Schizosaccharomyces pombe: one gene and its partner. Changing the gene in region 1 together with any one later gene gives a genetic interaction. Each region holds a gene or a part of one and is shown in the gene's direction. Other genes may lie near its edges.

Region 1 (5,469 bases):
TTGAACTTTCGCGAGACTGCTCCAGCGGGTGCCAGCAAAAATATGTTTCATGGTAACTCTACCCTGTCACAGGTAGGTGGTCTTTCCGTTGCCGTCCCTGGTGAAATTGCTGGCTACGAGCGTGCTTGGAAAATGTATGGCTCTCTACCTTGGCATAAGTTGTTTGAACCAACCATACGTCTTATGAGAGATGGAATGCCAATGCCCAAGGAACTTGCGTCTCGCATCAGACGACCCGAGTTTTCCTATTTCAAGACTCATCCAGATTGGTCTAAAATATTTGCTCCAGAAGGTGTTTTTTTACACGTTGGAGAAAAGTTTTATCGGCCTGCTCTAGCGTCTACCCTCGAAGAAATAGCTAAGTTTGGTCCTGAAGTGTTTTACACAGGAAAAATTGCAGAAAGGCTTGTAAAGTTTGTTCAACAGCAAGGAGGTATACTAACCATGGAGGATATGGCCAATTTTTCAGTTGTTGTGGAGGAACCTATTTATGGTAACTTCTATGATCGTGAGGTTATTACTTGTGGATCCCCTTGTAGTGGAGAGGCTTTGATTTTAGGTTTAAATGTTCTTTCAAAAGTAGATTTAAGTGAAGGTACTTCTATCCTTGGTTGTGAAATGACGGATATTGGCGTGCACCATCTAATTGAAACAATGAAATGGATGTCCGCTGGACGGACTGTATTAGCAGACCCAACTTTTTACAATAATACAGATCATGTTGAACAGTTACTTTCTTTGGAATATGCTGATGAAATTCGCAATAATATTTCTAACGAGAGGACTTTTGATTTTACTCACTACAAGGCCGAATACGATTTCCCTAACGATCACGGCACTACTCATCTTTCCGTTATCGACAAAGACAATATGGCAGTCGGACTCACAGCTTCTATCAATTTGATGTTTGGTTCACAACTTTTGGAACCTGAAACGGGTATTATACTGAATGATCACATGGACGATTTTGCTTCTCCAGGAATAGTGAATGCTTTCGGTTTGAGTCCATCGCCATACAACTTTATTGCCCCTGGTAAGCGACCACAAAGCTCCGCGGTGCCTACGATTTTGGTATATAATGGTGAAGTTGAAATGGTTCTTGGTGGTAGCGGTGGCAGCCGAATCGTGACAGCTGTGTTAGACACAATTATTAAAAAATATAAATGGGGCAAGTCATTGTTAGAATCTGTTGAGAGTCCTAGATTTCATCATCAGCTAATGCCTAATATCGTCTATATCGATGAAACTGTTGAAATTGAAGTTCTTAGAGCTTTAGAAAAGTTTGGTCATATAGTGGATTTAATCCCCGTTCAATATCCTTTCAGTGAAATTCAAGCTGTTTTCCGCACCAACGGCACATTGTACGGTTTAAGTGATAGCCGAAAACAGGCTGTTGCTGCTGCCTATTAAAATTTCACTAAATTATTAAAAAAAACTCCTTAGACGCTCACAAAATTTTCCTTTATTTGTTGTTATTAATTTATCAGGTTTATTAACTTATTCTCAATCTTTATGTGCTTTTTACTGATCTTTAGCTTGTGGCTGGGATGAGAGAAAAATATTATAAAGCATAAAACGTATGAATGATCACTGTCTACATATTTGTGCACATGATGGTGATGATTGGACCTTCGTTAGTTAGATAGATTACATTCTTTCCTAGATTTAGAAAGTTTTAGCAAAACGAAGAACAATTACATTTAACTTTCGAATTTATTCTAACCGTAACATAATATATCTTCATACTTTAAACGTAAAACAGTAAAATATTTCTTTCGATGTACGAATGGCAAATATTCCTTTACTAATTAAAAATACTTTACTGTGTTAATTAATACTAAATCATTAAATTGAATTAAAGATTCACATAATATCGGATATTTGCTTTTGACCTTCGTGGTCCATGGAATACCACCATACAAATTGTTGAATAGTGAACTTTTGATTTAAGCTTATGAAACTCAACTTCTCTAACACCTTACAATACCCACATGTTTTTGGGGAAAAGGAGAAAGTATGGAAGAAGAAGGACATAAAAGTTTAACTGTAAGAACAAATTTAAGTGTAATTTATTAATTTTTTTCCTTATAGTCGCATCTACCTCAGTCCTCGAGTTCTTTGTCGCAAAGTCGAGAAATTGCTAAAGAATTTACGTCTAATATACCTCCTCCGACTATTAAAACTAATTCATCTTCATCAAATATTCTGAAACCTCGGTTATCATTGCAAAATGAAGTTAACCAACTGAAACCTGCTAAATTTCCCAGTAAGATGTTACCACCAGGAAGCTTAGCCTCGGTTAAATCTTCTAGTCTTGCAAAAAAAGCCAGGCCTTTTACCGCGTCCTCTAATCCCAGGATGCCCAAGTCTGCACATCCCATTTCAAGTCGGTCAGTGTCTGCTTCTTCTCATTTTGGTAGACCTGCCAGTGCTGTTTCATCCAGTTTAAATAGTAGCGATGATGTGAGAAGTATGTCAGATGAAAGTATGGAATCTTATAATGATGAAAAGTCTGTTAATGCCAGCGCCTTAAGGACTACAGAAGACCGGTTGAGGAGTATGGAAATGGCTTATGCTCAATTATCGGCTAAAGTTATTCCTTCACCCTCAAAAAGACCAGCTAATTACAAATTTTACGAACAGAGAATTGCTATGCTTGAAGAATCATTAGAAGTCGAGAGGAGTCGTACATCGGAGTTACAAGAACAATTTTCAGTGGCTCTGAGAGAAAAAGCTGAGGCGGAGGCTAATAAAATCGTTTCTCAAAAGGGTATGGAGAGTTTGGAGATAATGTTAAACTCAATGAAAAGTGAAAATCATCAGCGCATGGCCATGTTGGAAGAGAACCATGCTCGGGTGATGGAGACAGCTGAGCTTCAGCATCAAGCAGAATTACAGGATTTTGCTTCCAATATTGAACAAAAAGCAAATAGTTTAATCATGGAGTACAAAAATGAATTGCAGTCTGCCGAAGAACACTTTTCACACAAGATTAAAGAGCTTACTTCAGAAAATGAACTCAAAATTTCCAGACTACAAGAGGAAAAGGATTCTTTATTAAAGAAAGTTCAGGAGGGCGCTTCGCTGGCTATGCAACGTGTCCAAAATAAGCATGATCTAGAAAAAAAAAGACTGCAATCTGCAATTCAACCGCTTCAGGAAGAAAATAATTCTTTGAAACAGCAGATTGAACAATTACAAAGAGAACTTGCTTCTGAAACAGTTGTTAAGGAAAATCTGAAATCTTCGTTGGACCAACAAAGTGCCAACGTTCAGAAGCTTGAATCTACAAATCGGGCTTTAGAAAGCACTATCAAAACACTTGAAGAAGATGTTTATACTATGAAAAATAAGATTATAGAACTAGAAGGCATTTTAAAATCTGCCAATGTTGAGAGAGACGGTTTAGTTGAGAAACTCATAGCTGAGGAAACTCTGAGAAGAAAACTCCATAATACCATTCAAGAACTTAAAGGTAACATACGCGTTTTTTGTCGAGTGCGACCTCCCCTTGGCGATGGAGAATCAGCACAAATAGCTTTTCCTGATCAAAATTCCGAAGCTAGTACTATAGAGATTGTTGCTCAAGCCCCAGGGTCTTCGTTAACAGGGAACGGGATAAAACAGTATGCCTTTAATTTCGATCGTGTATTTTCCCCTGAAACGACTAATGAGGATGTATTTAATGAACTGTCACAGTTAATTCAAAGTGCTATGGACGGATATAATGTTTGTATATTCGCTTACGGTCAAACAGGTTCAGGCAAGACGCATACGATGTCTTCAAATACAGGAATGATCCCTTCATCTGTAAGAATGATATACAATCGCTCTACTTCTTTGAAAGAACGAGGTTGGGAATATCGGATGGAAGGACAATTTCTAGAAATATACAATGAAACCATTATTGACCTTTTAGCCTCCGGAAATGAAGAAGAGAAGGGAAAGAAAAAACTGGAGATATATCATGACACGAAGGCCGGAAGGACGACTATTACCAATATAACCAGCGAACCGTTAGACACACCTGAGCAGGTAACCTGGTTGTTAGATCAAGCTTCGAAGAACCGTTCTGTTGCGGCTACCAATGCTAATGAACATTCCTCAAGATCGCATTCAGTTTTTATGCTACACTTGAATGGAAGCAATTCTACGACAGGTGAAACATGCAGAAGTACGCTTAATTTGATTGATCTGGCTGGATCCGAAAGACTTTCGAGTAGCCAAAGTGTGGGTGAACGTTTGAAGGAAACGCAGGCAATCAACAAAAGTTTAAGTTGTTTAGGAGATGTAATACATGCTTTGGGAAGTGGAAAGGAAGGAACGTACATTCCGTATCGAAATTCCAAGCTGACTAATTTGTTACAATATTCGTTGGGAGGAAATAGTAAAACTCTCATGTTTGTCAATATTTCCCCACTAAAACAGCATGTTCCCGAAACATTATGCAGTTTGAGATTTGCAACAAAGGTAAATAATACTCAAATTGGCACAGCACGCAAAGTCACAAAATGAACGGAAAGCACCAACAGGATGGCTTGAGGATTGTTGTTTATAAGGAGAGCTGTCTTTTCCGTTTTTGTAAAATATACAGATCTGTTTGCTCTCTTTTGTATACTTTGAAAATAATTTTTATGGGCCTATAAAGAACCACAAGTCAGAACTATTATCGTTTTAATGGACGTATACATACAAGTAAGCGTTCATTTCCAACTCACTCTTTTTTTTTATATATTCGAATACGCTCTTTAGGTTATATGTGTTCTTTCCTTTGAATGTTTTCAAATTTTACCATTATATTTTATGTTTTCTATAATAGTATTGAGCAAATATTTTCTTTTATGACTAGACCCTAATGACATTCCAACTTACTTAGTACGGTGGTTTATAATTCGCTCAAAATGAAGTCATATCTCATAAAGTATGTTCAAAAGTATAGTTAATCTTAGAAAGTAACTGACTACAAAAATTGTTCCAAGTGACTTTTGGATGAAGCAAAGGTGAGCAATTAAATTTCACAGATGAATTACATTTAGGAGAAAAGATCAAGTATCCAAAAATATAATATTACTAGCTATTTTTTTTTTCTCAAACTTGGCAGTTCCTTTAATTCTCTCTTGATAATAAAAATATTAGAAATTCTACTACCCACTGTATATTTTATTCCTTTCGGAATGTTCTTCAGATTGACCCAAGAAATATAGAATAAGCTAAAATTAACAGATTATACTTTATTTTCTTTAATAATTGTACTAATTTCGGTTTCTTAATTGCTACTTAATCCACTTAGTGGGATTATAGGAATTTCCATAAATTTTCCACTGCCAATCTTGAATACATTTCCTTTTTTTCTCTTTCATTTGAATGCTTCTATCCCTTTTCAGTAAATACTGAGGTGGCATTTTTCTATATCTTGCCAATAGTCCAATTCTTTTCCATTTGTTTATCAAATACTGAATTATAACGAGA
Region 2 (5,371 bases), on another chromosome or scaffold:
GGAGTCCAATTACCTAATGAATTGGTAGCGTAAAAGTCCATAGGATAAACTTCCTTCCAAGGAACAACATTAAAAGCAGCAGATGCTTCATATGGTGTCAACAATGGAGCGGGAAATGCATAGCCCCAATCTATGGAAAGCCTTGGACAAGCGACCTGAATCCACGCGTCAATATCAGAGAATTGACCCAATCTACTAGGAAAAATTTCTGACATTAAAACGCAAACGAAATCTTTATTATTTTTCCTTAAAGTATTCTTTAAATTTTCGAGTACCTTAGGAGACCCCTGTCGACCCAGTGTACCTTGAATTAGACCGAACTTTTTAGCGGTACGAGCTTTCTCAACGGCGGAATACCGAATAGATTTCATTTCTTCATGAGCATAAGATTCAATAGAGAGCTTATGTGAGTAAGGATCATAGCGGTATGCGGGCAAATCAGGATTAGCAATCATGACAGATTCCAAATGGAATCTTCCGTCACCAATGTAAATTAATGCATCTACAGATCCTTTTTCAATATAGGGAGATGTACATCCCAACGCCTCTCCAGGAGATAATGGCTTTGCTTGTGGAATAACAACGTAAAAACCTCCCTTTCCGTCTTCATCCTGTATTTGCAAAGCGTCTTTTATAGAGTTGAGAGATCCAACAAATTGGATAGTTCCAACCAAAGCTAACCTAGAATTGGAGGGTAGATTATGTTTTAAAGATGATACGACATGTTGCAAATCTATCTTTATATCCACGAAAACATATAGCACCTTTATGGGCGTTTGATCAACAGGTATAAGACAAGAATGACCATAGTGTACTAAAAAATCGCAATCGAGTGCCCTAGCTGTAAAATCGTCAATACAACACGCACCGTATGTAACGTCGCCCATCACAATTGTCTCGACCTGGCAAAATTGTTCAAAAATATCAGACAATATACAACCAAACATCAATAGCCCCTCGGGAAGTTGCAAGGCAACACGTTTTGCTTTTCGTAAGCGAATATGCCAAATGGTTTTGTGAATTTCAAAATTGTAATTTTGCGGTAACTATTAAAGGTTAGCTGACCAAGCTTTGATGTTTTTGAGAAAAGAAGAAACTAATTTACGGCATCTTTCTCTAATAAAAGCAGCTTACCAATTTTATAGCTTCATTAATTGCTTTATCGTTTAATATATCCTCTGGGATTTGAGTAGCTACTCGTCCAGCGCTCCTCTTGGAGTTAATAGTGACGAGAGCAGCATTTTCAACATCTCTATTAGAACCATCCAAATTATTTTCCTTCCTATTTTTTTTGCCAACAAAACGACGTTTTGGAATTGATTTTTTCACTTCCGCCATTGTGTTTTAAAATTATAAAGTCTATTACTAAAACCCTTTGAAATCCCAAGAAGTAACCAATGCTATGTATGTATTTAAATTGATAGAATGCCAAAAATCCTTTTTCCCTGCAAATTGCTTGTTTGTTAAATTAAAATACAATAGGATCCCAAATAATTTACTAAGTAAAAAAGCATTGCACTTTGCTATATTATTTAACACACGTTGTTATATTACGCTATTTCTATCGGAGGTTGGATCCACGAATACAGCTTCACCTCCGATCATAGGCCACGAAATTTGAACGGCTAACGCTCCTTTAGATTGTTCCAAATTAATTTGCGTGAATAAGCTAAAGCTGTTTTTAGTCACAATTGAAGTTAAATGACCTCTGTCATCCAAGATGAAATTCAGTCATAGGTTTGTTGCATCAGTTTTCACAAGACTTGTTCTAATTACTTTTTAGTCTTCAATTTAATGCAGTACCGGAATGGTCCGAAAGCTACATTGCGTAAGTAAACAACCTGTTGGATTACTTCCGATTTTTGCTAACAATCGGTGCTTAGTTACTCGAACCTTAAGAAGCTGTATGTTTGAAAATTCTCGAGCTTACGACTGGCTATTATGATATATCCTATATTCCGACAAATTCATACTTGCGAAATTTGGGATAATGTCTGATTAACAGCCGGAGAATAAAATTGTACTTGAATTTTGCTAACATATATTTTTAAGTATTTATTCATTGGAACATGAACAGATAACATTACAACAAGGCGCTCCAGATGAAGAAACTAGGCTGTTAGAGCACGAAAGAAGATCACCCGATGATCGCTTTATGTTTGCTTTAGACAAGGAATTACAAGGAATTGTTGAATTTTATGCTCCTAAAGAAAAAGAAATTGCTGATCAGTATGGTAGAATTAAGGGCGAATTTGAAACCTATGAGAATGAGTATATGAGTCAGGGAAACAACATTAATTACCCTACCCCTGAACGATTACAAAAGAGCTCAGCGAGTAGGAAATCTGGTCGTATGGCCCGCAGCCAAGAATTGCCTCGCATTACTTCTTCAAACCGTGAGATATATCTCAATGGGCAAACTAGTGATGGAGGTTATGCGGCCCCTGCTATATCTAGAGCAGAATCTACTGCTATTCAACCGTCTGAACCTCATGATGTCGATACTTCTAAAAACGGTTTATCAAAAAAACAACATTCAGAAGCTCAACCTGAGGTACAAGGCAATGATGATGAGGTGGAGGAGGAAGATGATGATGATGATGATGAAGATGAGGACGAAGATGAAGACGAAGATAACAACAATAACAATCGATGGTTGCTTATTGAACAATATCCATCTGATATTGTTGCGTACGAAAACTTCGTTTCTTTAAAGCGAAAACTGACACAGTTGTATGTTTCAATTCATGACTTGATTTCGTACGTCCATCTTAATTATACTGGTTTTTCAAAAATCTTAAAAAAATATGATAAAACTTTGGGTAGTAGCCTTCGTGAATCGTACATGAAGCGCGTCAACCAAGCTTACCCTTTCCTTCCTGCTACTGGGAAAACATTGTCAAAGCGTTTAAATATTGTTGCAGAGTGGTATGCTAAGCTATGCTGTCAAGGCGATACATTTGTGGCTATCCGTCGCCTTCGTGGTCATCTTCGTGAATACGTTGCATGGGAAAGGAACACTATTTGGCGTGAAATGATGGCTATGGAGCGTCGTACTCAGGCCGCGAGATTATCAGGACTGAAGCCTGTCGCAGCTGATGAGAAAGAATCAGAACAGCCCCCCTATTTTACAATCAAAACTAAATTTGGTGTTTTTAGAATCCCAAGATGCTTCTTTAATAGCACGATTGCAACTTTAATTACTATTATCGTTATATTTATTCTCTTATTAAGTTTTCCTGTCATAGATAATAGGGAACAGAACAATTGTTTGGCTTTGTTAGTAATGGTTTCTTTATTATGGGCTACGGAGGCTATTCCTTTGTTCGTTACTTCGTTTTTGGTTCCTTTTATGACTGTGTTTTTGAAAATTTTGAGAGATGAGAACGGTTCACCTCTTTCTGGAAAGGAATCAACAAAGGTTATATTTAGTTCGATGTGGAATCCAACTATAGTTTTGCTTTTAGGAGGTTTTACCATTGCAGCTGCTCTAAGCAAATATCATATTGCTAAAAGGTTGGCGACTTCCATTTTAGCGCATGCAGGGCGTAAGCCTAGAAGCGTGCTTCTTACAAACATGTTCGTTGCCATGTTTGCTAGTATGTGGATTAGCAACGTTGCTGCGCCAGTGTTGTGTTTTTCTATTATTCAGCCCCTTCTGAGAAATTTACCAGCAGAGTCCGATTTTGCAAAGATACTAATTGTGGGTATTGCTTTGGCATCTAATGTTGGAGGTATTGCTTCGCCTATTTCATCCCCACAAAATATTGTTGCGCTACAGAATATGGATCCCGCTGCGGGATGGGGTGAATGGTTTGCCGTCAGTATTCCTGTATCGTTACTGTGTATATTTTCTATATGGTTTCTGTTGTCTTTTGGATTACTGAAAGATGAGCACATCACTTTAGCTAAAATTCGCTCCACCAAGGATACATTTACTGGTGTCCAATGGTTTATTTCCATTGTTACGATTGGTACTATAGTCCTTTGGTGCCTTGAACGCCGCTTCGATGAGGTGTTTGGTGATATGGGTGTTATTGCATTAGTCCCAATCATTGTATTCTTCGGAACAGGTTTGTTAACCAAGGAGGATTTTAATAATTTTTTGTGGACAGTCATAGTTTTGGCAATGGGAGGTGTTGCGTTAGGAAAAGTAGTGTCTTCTTCCGGCCTTTTAGAACTTATTGCCCTTAAAATAGGTAATGCTGTTTCTTCCCTTAATACATTTAGGGTACTGCTTATTTTTTCTGCTTTGACTCTTGTTGTTTCTTCATTTATTTCTCATATAGTAGCTGCAATGGTGGTACTTCCCATTGTCCATGAAGTTGGAAGTCGCCTTGCCGATCCTCATCCACGTCTTTTCGTTTTGGCTTCGGGAATGATGTGTAGTCTTGCTATGGCTTTGCCAACCAGTGGTTTTCCTAATATGACAGCTATCATGATGGAAAATGAAGCTGGCAAAAGATATTTGAAAGTTAGTGACTTTTTAAAAGCTGGTATTCCTGCCACACTAATTTCCTTCGTGATTCTCCTATTAATTGGAACACCAATCATGCGAGCACTTGGATTTTAACCTCCTAATTTGTAAACGGTACTGTATCTTTCTTTTTATAATTTTTGAGTCGAAGCATGTTCTGCTGCATAACACATTCATATTTGTCAATTCTACTTAAATAGATTTTAAATCATTGCATTCGAAGATAAAATTATGGTAGCTTAGTGTTCCTACGGATCTTAATGTATTTATATGTTCACTTTATAATACGATACAAAACAAATTTTATCTCTCCTTTGTTTCAAATTGACTGGCAAAAAAAAATAACAAATAACTAATCACAAAAACCTAAGGAATATGAAAAATAGTTGCTAATTTTCGTAGAAACTTGGATCTTGATTAGAAATGAACCAAATTATGCATCATTCAAATAGATTGTAGTGTGTATGGTGCAGCGGGAACGTTATAATTAACCATCACCTATAGTCTCAAAATGTTACGCAAATTGCCCATCAATTTTGCGAAATGGACTGTAAAAAAGGTGCCAGTTCAGCAGAAAAGATTTAATAGTCAACAAAAAGAAATCTCACCTCATGTAAGCTTTTCTAAATACGCTTTAGGTCATAAATTTTATCTGTGCTAAAATTCATTCAAGCATTTTTGCATTGTTTTATTTAACATTATTTTATTAACGATCATAAAGATTATGTTTTATAAAAACTACGCTAGACCTCTTGGTAAAGTGACGCTTTTTGCCTTAGCAACTTATTATGGATTGGAAATAGTTTGGTGGAAATTAGATGCATCAGAACAGGAAGCTATTAAAAACAGTAAGTTGTTGATATGTGAAAGCTCTTTTAGTTTGTTGACATTTAG

What was found.
Region 2: mutations in klp2 (region 1) and plt1 together harm fitness more than expected from each alone (negative genetic interaction), as found in Schizosaccharomyces pombe (one large-scale study listed by BioGRID).

The regions. Positions count from the first base shown.
Region 1 is NC_003424.3:1,719,979-1,725,447, forward strand, and holds klp2 (kinesin-14 family minus-end directed microtubule motor Klp2), read left to right. Parts: upstream 1-1,975; 5' UTR 1,976-2,016; coding exon 2,017-2,046; exon of another isoform or gene 2,047-2,091; coding exon 2,092-4,515; 3' UTR 4,516-4,924; downstream 4,925-5,469. Other genes in the region: gamma-glutamyltranspeptidase Ggt1, read left to right, coding at 1-1,410. UniProt on the Schizosaccharomyces pombe protein: Minus end-directed microtubule (MT) motor that is involved in spindle microtubule shortening, kinetochore capture, and polarization of cytoplasmic microtubules. During mitosis, promotes spindle microtubule shortening by depolymerization.
Region 2 is NC_003423.3:3,385,980-3,391,350, forward strand, and holds plt1 (phosphate transporter), read left to right. Parts: upstream 1-1,638; 5' UTR 1,639-1,720; coding exon 1,721-1,737; exon of another isoform or gene 1,738-1,783; coding exon 1,784-1,828; exon of another isoform or gene 1,829-1,883; coding exon 1,884-1,904; exon of another isoform or gene 1,905-2,052; coding exon 2,053-4,573; downstream 4,574-5,371. Other genes in the region: diphthamide biosynthesis protein Dph1, read right to left, coding at 1-1,046, 1,135-1,338; mitochondrial F1-FO ATP synthase peripheral stalk assembly factor Ina17, read left to right, coding at 4,989-5,090, 5,199-5,325.